Caenorhabditis elegans: one gene and its partner. The protein of the gene in region 1 purifies or fractionates together with the protein of each later gene. This does not show direct contact. Each region holds a gene or a part of one and is shown on either strand. Other genes may lie near its edges.

The links.
Region 2: the proteins of dnj-17 (region 1) and znf-622 fractionate together in Caenorhabditis elegans (co-fractionation; one large-scale study listed by BioGRID). This does not show direct contact.

Annotation. Positions count from the first base shown.
Region 1 is NC_003281.10:13,390,284-13,395,369, reverse strand, and holds dnj-17 (DnaJ homolog subfamily C member 21), read left to right. Parts: upstream 1-2,030; 5' UTR 2,031-2,034; coding exon 2,035-2,346; intron 2,347-2,390; coding exon 2,391-2,684; intron 2,685-2,738; coding exon 2,739-2,869; intron 2,870-2,916; coding exon 2,917-3,087; intron 3,088-3,839; coding exon 3,840-4,147; intron 4,148-4,203; coding exon 4,204-4,445; 3' UTR 4,446-4,520; downstream 4,521-5,086. Other genes in the region: qdpr-1 (Dihydropteridine reductase), read right to left, coding at 520-649, 704-972, 1,025-1,148, 1,206-1,309, 1,368-1,451; T03F6.3 (Glucosamine-6-phosphate deaminase), read right to left, coding at 4,657-4,959.
Region 2 is NC_003281.10:6,379,620-6,383,647, forward strand, and holds znf-622 (C2H2-type domain-containing protein), read left to right. Parts: upstream 1-2,014; 5' UTR 2,015-2,026; coding exon 2,027-2,209; intron 2,210-2,265; coding exon 2,266-3,079; intron 3,080-3,151; coding exon 3,152-3,282; 3' UTR 3,283-3,377; downstream 3,378-4,028. Other genes in the region: C16A3.6 (Protein MAK16 homolog), read left to right, coding at 1-231, 284-406, 456-915; C16A3.5 (NADH dehydrogenase [ubiquinone] 1 beta subcomplex subunit 9), read left to right, coding at 1,172-1,222, 1,334-1,774; let-716 (rRNA biogenesis protein RRP5), read left to right, coding at 3,933-4,028.

The DNA of each region.
Region 1 (5,086 bases):
CAATATGTTGTAGATTTTTAATTAAAATCGTTTCAGGACCCATCGCAAAAGTGGTGTGCCCCTTCCAAGGTATATTTTCCATTCTCTGAATTCATAATATTTTGGTAAAGTTATTTTCAACGTAATTTGTATAAAATCTTTTGCGAGTTTCTAGCAAATTTTTACTTTTGCCCCGAAAATACGGTACTCGGTCTCAACACGACAAACTTTGATTAACTTCGAAAAGGGATGCGCCTTTAGGGAGTACTGTAATTTTGTAACATTTTGTTGCCGTAGAATTTTCTATAAATTTAAAGAAAATAGGGAACTAAAAAAAAACCATAAGAAATTGTCGCGTCGAGACCGGTACCGTATTTTCAGCAGAAAAATTGCAATATTTCGCATCTAGATAATAAAACATTTTTACTTAAAAACATCACAAGCTTTATGGACAAATGATTTAGAAATTGATAGCATACTACATGGAAAAATAACAGATAATAAGCGGAATGTAAAAAAGGCTGAAAAATGTCGGTAAAATTATTGTGGAGTGATAGTCGATGTTCCATTTTCAGTGGTTATTTTGAGGAGAGCCCCGGAAGATGGACGGCTCGATGTTTCTGTGGTCCATTTGAGAAGATGTTCAGAGATGAATGAGAGTGGAGTCCAGCTGAAAAAAAAACATAGAAAACTATGCAAAAGAAAAAGAGTAATTTAATTTTACCTTGAATGATCAGCATTTGGCATCCATTTTCTGTTCATTGGGGTGTCCAAAGTGACTGGCATAATTGTCAAAACGGCCGAATTGTCAGGCAATCCCGAATCTTTGGCAGCCAATGAAGATGTCAGATGATGAACTGCAGCTTTTGCCATACCATATCCAATCATTGATGGAGTTGGTCCCATAGCAGCAGCAGCTCCTGTAAGCTGAAGAAGACCTCCCGGCTTGAGGTGAGTGGTGGCCAATTTGGCTGCAATTGCTGAACTCCAGACCTGAAAATTCACGGTAGAATAATACCAGATGTTTAGGATTAATATATGTTACCGATTGTTTGATCATTAAATCAGCATTTTTCACAAAATCTTTTGAAGAAGCGGAGCCTCCAGCCCATCCACCGGCAACACAGAAAACTCCATCAACCTGACTTCCCTGGAGAGATGAAGCAGTTCTGCAAATATTTTATGAGGTTACGGTAGCTTTTTTTTAAATTAAAAATACAACTTACTGCTCGAGAATGGATTGTTCTTGTTCTGTCCAATTTTTATTTCCGTCCACCAAAATATTACTGTCAGCTTGGTCATTGGCACTCAAGTCGATGTTTAGAACAGTCTGAAAATTAATGAAAATTAATTTACAACATCCTAATTCAATTTCTTTTAAAACTTACATAACCATTTTTCTTGAAGAATTCAAGAATAGCAGATCCAAGTGCGCCTTTGCCTCCGTATACGATAACTTTTCCACTGGACATTGTTCGAAACTGCAAGGAAAAAGTAAAGAATGACAATATGGAGGTTGAAGGACAAATTGGCCGCGTGGACGACGTCAAGGACGATTTTAATGTGATACTGGTATCAACGAGTGATCAGAGACACAGATTTTTAATGTTAAATGAGGGAAAACTTGATGGAATTCAGGAAAATAAAGATGAAACAACATTTTGGAAATCGGTTTCCGAGCTTGAACTCGAAACGAACTTTTGTTATCGAGAGTTTTATCAGTTATATTTTTGCAAGAAATTTGGCAGACATATCAATCGATAGCTCTTATTTAGCTCAACAACATTTAATATGAATCACAACAGGAAAATGTGAATTAGCTTCTCAGAATTCGTCAAAACATCGTGGGAAAAAATATAGGAAATTATTTTTTTACAATTGCGCTCTAATGTAGATGGCGAGACATCGTGTGGAAAGGAGAGACGATAGATAACTTTTTCTTTTCATTTAATTCTTTTTCTTGTTTCTATTATTATTTAAATGGTTTCGCATGAACTATTCATTTCAATTTATAAAATAAAATCATATTTAGAGTAAATTTTAAATATTTCAGCTATGAAATGCCATTACGAAGTGCTCGAAGTTGAACGCGACGCTGATGACGATAAAATCAAAAAGAACTACAGAAAACTAGCGCTCAAATGGCATCCCGACAAAAATCCGGATCGCATCGAAGAGTGTACTCAGCAATTTAGGCTTCTTCAAGCTGCGTACGACGTTTTGAGTGATCCACGAGAACGCGAATTTTACGATAGACATAGAGAAAGTATTCTGAAGGGAAAAAATACGGATTTCGAGGAACAATCCACGGATTTGTTCCCCTATTTCACCGCTTCTTGCTATCAAGGATATGAAAACGATAAAAATGTGAGAATGAAATCTAAAAAGTAAATCAAAATTATAAATTACAGGGCTTCTTCACTGTCTACCGGAAAGTCTTCAATATCCTAGTTTCTGAGGAATATGATGCGTACAACGATTCAACAATAGTCTATCCAGAGTTTGGCGACAAGGATACCGATTTGGAGCAAACTGTGAATGGTTTCTACGGTTTTTGGAGCTCTTTTTCGACAACTCGCTCTTTTGCCTGGCTGGATCATTATGATATCACACAGGCTTCAAATCGATTCGAATCACGGCAAATCGATCAGGAAAATAAGAAGTTTAGGGATGTCGGAAAGCAGGAAAGGAACGAGCAAATTAGGGTATGATTGTCCGGAATATTTAATTTTAAATTTAAATTTAACAAAATTTTTCAGAATCTGGTCGCTTTTGTTCGAAAACGTGATCCACGTGTCAAAGCATATAGGGAAATTTTGGAGCAAAAAAAATTGGAAGCACATAAGAAACAAGCTGATAATCGAAAAAAGCAGATCGCCAAAAATCAAGAGTAAGTTCCGAAATTGTGAAAAATAAGGAAAAAATTGAATTTTTCAGGCTAGCCAACTCATATCTGAACGACAAAGAAGCCGAGGCAGCCCGTCTTGCTCATTTGATTGAAGTTAGTCTACAAATGGCCGAGGATTACGATACTTGTAGTGATGAATGTGATGAAGAAGGAGAAGAACTTCCATATTGTGTTGTTTGTAGCAAATCGTTCAAAACTGTGTAAGCAGAATATTATAAAGACGCAGAAAAATGCCATTTTTGAAATGGAGATGCAAGTACGCTTCACGGAAAAATTAAATCGCTCCGCCTCCAAAGTTGGGTCTTGTTAGGCATTGGCTGCAAAACCTTAATTTCAAACGATTTTTGTTTAAAAAAAAGCTTAAAAAATGCACAATAATCGAAACATTGAGAATTGAAAAACGAAAATTATAGATTTATCGGAACTCCTTTAAAAAATTTTTTTTTGATCTTTTAAAATCGAAAAATCTAAATAAAACGTTTAAAAAATGAAAAAAAAGAAGAAAAATTGAAAAATTTGAGGTCATTTTTCTAAAAATCAAATTTTTTGAAATATTGAAAAAATTTTTAAAAAAACATCGAGAATTTTTTTTTCGAATTGGAATGAACCAAAACTAAAAAAAAATCGATATGTAATTTTCCGATATAAAAAAAAAGAAAAAAGACTAATTTTTCTTATCAAAATATACAAAACTTTATAAAAAAGTTGAAATTGTGTGTCAATTTTCTGAAAAATAATTTTTTTGATTTTTTGATTATTTTAGAAAAAAATGAAAATCCTTGAAGAAAAGTGAGAGACAAAAAATACGAAAAAATATTGAAAACGTTTAAAATTATGGATTTACCGCCACTACCTAACGAGACCCAACTTTTGTCCGTGGAGCGCGCTTGCACCTCAATTTCAAAAGTCTGATTATATTCATCTCTATAATATTCTTCAAACTTAATTTCAGAAACGCCAAGTTGAATCATGAGAACTCGAAGCAACACATCCGTCAGCTGAATGAGCTGAAAAAGCATATGAAAGAAGAAGATTCCACGATTTTCACCGAAGCAGAACCGAAACCCGACGAAACACCGAAAGGAAAGAAGAATAAGAGAAAGGATAGGAAAAAGGGGAATGGAATATTTGATGTGGAAGAAACAGAAGCAGTAGAAGCCGAGATTCAGGAAGCGCCGCCCGTGGAAAATGAGCAGCCGGAGGAAGAGGAAAAGGAATGTACCCCGGAAGTTGTTAAGAAAGAGAAAAAGAAGAGAAGAGGTACATTTTGTAGAATTGCAAAATCTTTAAAACAAAAACAAAAATTTTGTTTTCAGCTGATAAAAATCAAAACCCATCGGCGACAGTAGAGGAAGAAGCACCGAAGTCAACTGAACCAAAATCTGCAATTTGTGATAAATGCCGTGAGGTATTCGATAGCCGGACCAGGTTATTTGCTCATTTACAAGAAACCGGACACGCCACGTTGCTCATCAACAAACCAGGAGAAAAAGGACAGAAGAAGGCGAAAAATAAGAAGGGACAACGTGGAAATAAGGGGGATGATGAGGATTGGTGAAACATTTTTTTTTTGGTATTTATTCTTGTTCTAATTGTTTTGTTTGTGAAAGTTTAATAAATATTTTTCAAAATTCAATTTTATTGAAATGTTTCGGGAAGAATAATGGGCAAATAATGAGTACCAAAATGTTCAATATTTAGTATTCAAAGTTACAGTGAAAGTTACAGTGAAAATTAGTGGAAGGGTACATGAAAAAAAGTAATACAGATTAAAACATGACAAGTGAACGATGATGATTCATTAATCCTTTGAAATATTTGACCGTCTTCACTTTCAACTCCAACGTGGCATCTTCGTCGGCAATAAACGTTGCACATCGATGCATCTGCATCGCAGAGACCGTACACATGTGAGAGATTCCGCATTCGATTGCCTGATGAAGAGCCAGCGCTTTGTGTGATCCTGTGATGAGAATCATCACTTCACGAGCATCCATTACAGTCTGGACGCCGACTGTCAGAGCTTGTGTTGGCACTTTTGTGATGTCTCCACCGAAGAAACGAGCGTTAGCCTGGAATTATTATTTTACTCCTGATTCCAAATATCTATGTGCACACGCGGTTCTGGCTCATTTTGACTCGGCCAAGGCCGGGGTTTAGTTGCAACGCTAAATGTATTTGTCCGTGTGGAGTACACGA
Region 2 (4,028 bases), 7.0 Mb from region 1:
TCGTGAGGAGAACGGAGTATGTTACTTGTACGCAAAAGTTGTCGAACGATCTCACTATCCACGTCGTTTATGGGAAAAGACAAAGTTGTCAAAGGATATGAACAAAGCATTGGAACAAATCAGTGATCAACTTCTTCATTGGAGTGAATATGTTAGACACAAGTGCAAAGCTCGTCTCATCCGAATTCATCAATATTTGATCAGAATGCGTAAAATGGCAGTCCGTGGAAAGTAAGTTTAAACTTATAGAAACTGAATTTTGCATAGTATTATTTATTTTCAGCCAGAAGAAACTCATTCCAATTGGACGGAAAGTGGAAAGACGTGAGAAACGTCGTGAAGAGAAGGCACTTGTTGCAGCTAAACTTGATCACGCTATTGAGAAAGAGCTCTTAGCCAGACTTAAGTGAGTTGATATATTAGAAAGTGCACATTTTGAATGAAACAACTTTTAGACAAGGAACATATGGCGATGTTTACAACTTCCGTCAAGAGGCATTCGAACAAATGCTGGAAAACACTGAAAAAGAGTTGGAAGTGGAGCAAGAACTCGAGCAGGACGACGCAGACACGGGTGAGACTCAGTTCGTCGCTGACTTTGATAGTTCCGACGATGAGGATCAGGACATGGAAGACGGAGGTGATGGACATTGGTCACCAGGAGATACTGACAGTGAGAACGAGGATAATTGGCAGCCAGAACAAGAACAAGAGGATTCGGATGAAGATGATGAGGAAGGAGGTGATGAGCCAATGGAAATTGAGGAGCCACCAAAGAAGAAGGTAAAGAAGGAGCCGAAGAAAAAGACTGGGAAGAAAGCTGCTGATGGAAAGAAGAAGAAGCTCAAGAAACGAGCTCATGTTGAGATTGAATACGAAGAAGAAACGGAGCCACGACAAAGGGTCAAGGCATAAAACTTCGCATTCCATTTTGTCTGTTATCGTTATTTTTGTTCTTTTCTTTTATTCGCCCTCTTCCAATTGTGTTGTTGTTATTTGCTTTTTAATTTTTAACTCTTTTACCCAAAAATTCAAATGAAAATTGTTACTTTTCCTTGTTTACTAAAAATTAAACTGATTGGTTTTTTTTCCAATTTTATTTTATTGTTCCAATCACATATTTTTGTACTCTATAAAACCCATTGTTTTCAGAGAAGACCGGGAGGAAGCCATGGATTCGCCGGCGTGGATGTTCACGAAGGCGCTGAGCCATAGACAGAAGGTAATTTTTATTTTTGAAAAGCTTTAGTCGTTTGTGAAATTGGTAGCGTTGTTTTTTAATCTGATTGGAGATTTCGTCTGTTTAAAATGTAGCGAATTATTGCATTTTCAGGTCACCCGCCTCTACAAACGCTGTCTTCGCGAAGTTGACAACTGGTATGGAGGAAACAATCTGGAAGTTCGCTTCCAAAAGTGTATTATCCGTGCTCGATTCGACGCTAACGCTGATGAGGTTGACACCCGTAAGAGCCAGATCCTTCTTGCCGACGGATGCCGTCAATTGTGGGAGAAACGTCATTTCAAGCCTTTCCGTTTTGCTCTCGATCCAGGAGGTTCCAGTTATGATCGTGAACGCGAGTCGCCGGATGAGATTGTCGATTCGGATCAATGGACATTGGCTGAACGTGAACAGTTCCCCTACTACTTCAATACTCGTGAGCAGAGAAAGAAGGAGTTGCTGACTCACTGGGCCAAAATCGAAAAAGCTTGGGATGAGGAGATCGCGTCAATTCAAACCCAACTACCAGCTGCTGCCCCAACTGTTTCCAAATAGGCCACTATGAGGAAGTAATGCGATTGATTTTAAGTAGAACGAGCTCACTCGTAGACCGAATAATTTTGTTTTGTTTTTTATGAATTTAACGTCACTGAACAAATAAATATAGCTGTATTTTCATTGTATATTATCATTTATTATTCATCTGTTTAAATGGTTATTGCTGACCATTTGCATATTTTTTCCAATTTATTTAAATTTCTTCTTGTAAGCTTTAAATTAAACATTTTATTACAGAGATCTATCAGAATGGATGGATCTACAGGGTTCACATGTGTAACATGCCGTGTCGTCTTCGAGACAGCCGAGCTGCAGAGAGATCATTACAAAACCGAATGGCATCGGTACAATCTGAAAAGACAAGCTGCTGAGCTTCCAGCTATAGGAATTGAGCTTTTCAATGAGAAAGCTGCATCGTTCAACCCAACAAAGGTAGGGGAAAAGTTTTCTAATGTTCGCTTAATACTTACTCATTATCAATTTTTCAGCCAGTCGTTGCTGCTTCAGTTGAACCATTGTACTGCAAGGCTTGTCGGAAATCAATCAAATCGGAGAATGCAATGACTGATCACGTAGCTAGCAAAAAGCACAAGGAAAATGAGAAGAAGATTGAGGATGATGTGAAGAAAGGTCCAAAGCAACCAAGAAAGAAGCCAGAGAATTTGCCAAAGAAACCTGAGTCACTAAAGGAACCTGAAAATGATGAAGATGATGACTCGAGTGGATGGGAAACTGACGATGAGGAGGAAGGTGTGGAGGAACTAAATGAGGATGATGCTCTTCCAGTCACATCTTGTCTGTTTTGTCCACAGACAAAGCCTAATATGGATGAAATGCGTACTCATATGAACTTCCATCATGGATTCCAACTTCCAGACAGGCAATACTTGAGCGATGAACTTGGATGCTTAAGCTACTTGGGACTTAAAGTTGGAGCTGGTCGTTGCTGTATCTTCTGCCCAGACGTTAAAGCCAGATACGAATCAGTTCAGAGTTGTCAGCAGCACATGCGAGATAAGCAGCACTGCAAACTCCGCAGAGATCCTGAAAGCATGATTGAGCTCGACGACTACTATGATTACAGTCCGATGTATGATGGAGATGATCAAGATAAGTCAGAACTGTTTGATGATGGATGGTCGCTTACTCTCCCTTCTGGAGCTAAAATTGGACACCGTAACCTTCATCGATATTTCAAACAATACCTTCGCCCAGTTGATGGTACACAGAGACTTGTTTCAAGAGCAGCACTCGATAAAGCAAAGGGATTCTATCCAGCTCTCGCTTGGACTGGAACTACGAGTAAGTTTTATTAGAATTCTATGACATCAAATAGTAGAAATAAAAAGAAATGTAACAAAAATAATATTTCAGCTGTCGCGGCCAAGAAGGTTGCTCGAGACATGAAGTTCGTTGAGCGTTTCCGTCGTCGTTTCGATCTGCGTGTGGCAGTCAAGTCGAACAAGTTGTTCAAGACAAACGGATTCGTCGGAGACAATCATTGACCACTTCATTCCAATTTTTCTGTTCCTGTTTGCTAACCTTGTTGTTTTTGCCGTTACCCCCGTTATGTTGACATTTTTCAATGAATATCCATCTGAAATAATTCGCTTCGATATACCAAAGAGGGATTTGGTAATGATCTGGTTTTCAAATTCAACACAATTCTAATTAGATCAAGTGTTTTGACCAAAATTTTCTTCAAAGGGAGGACCAAGTTATTACGAGCGCAGGTCTCACAACGAACACATTTACTACGGTAATCTTCAACTTTATTCATCATACAACGAAATCTTCCCTATTTAGAATTTAGCTTTTTCTTGGCGTATTCTGAACATTTTTTGCTAAATACGTCGCTTTTGTTAAGCAATTAAAAAATAGAACTATACATTTTCGCTCTCGCCTTCTAAATATTTATTTTTCGAAAACATTTCTTCTTCTTTTGATTGGCTACGGTATGCGAGTCCGCAATAGTCCGTCGCGGTGATTGCACACTTTTATCTTCCGAGAATTTTTTTACAATTTTATTTTCCATTTTCTCATTAATTTTTCCCCGAAAAAAAAAAAGAAAATGCCATGTTTTTGTTTTCAAAAAATTGTCGATATTTTATTTACTCGTAATATCTCTTCCGGGGTGATGAATATTTTGTTTCAGATGGTTAAACTAGATGAGGTAACAAACGAAAAGTGCTTCCCGCGTGGTGGTGGTTCGGACAAGCCAAAACCATTGAACAAATCCAACTCGGACTTT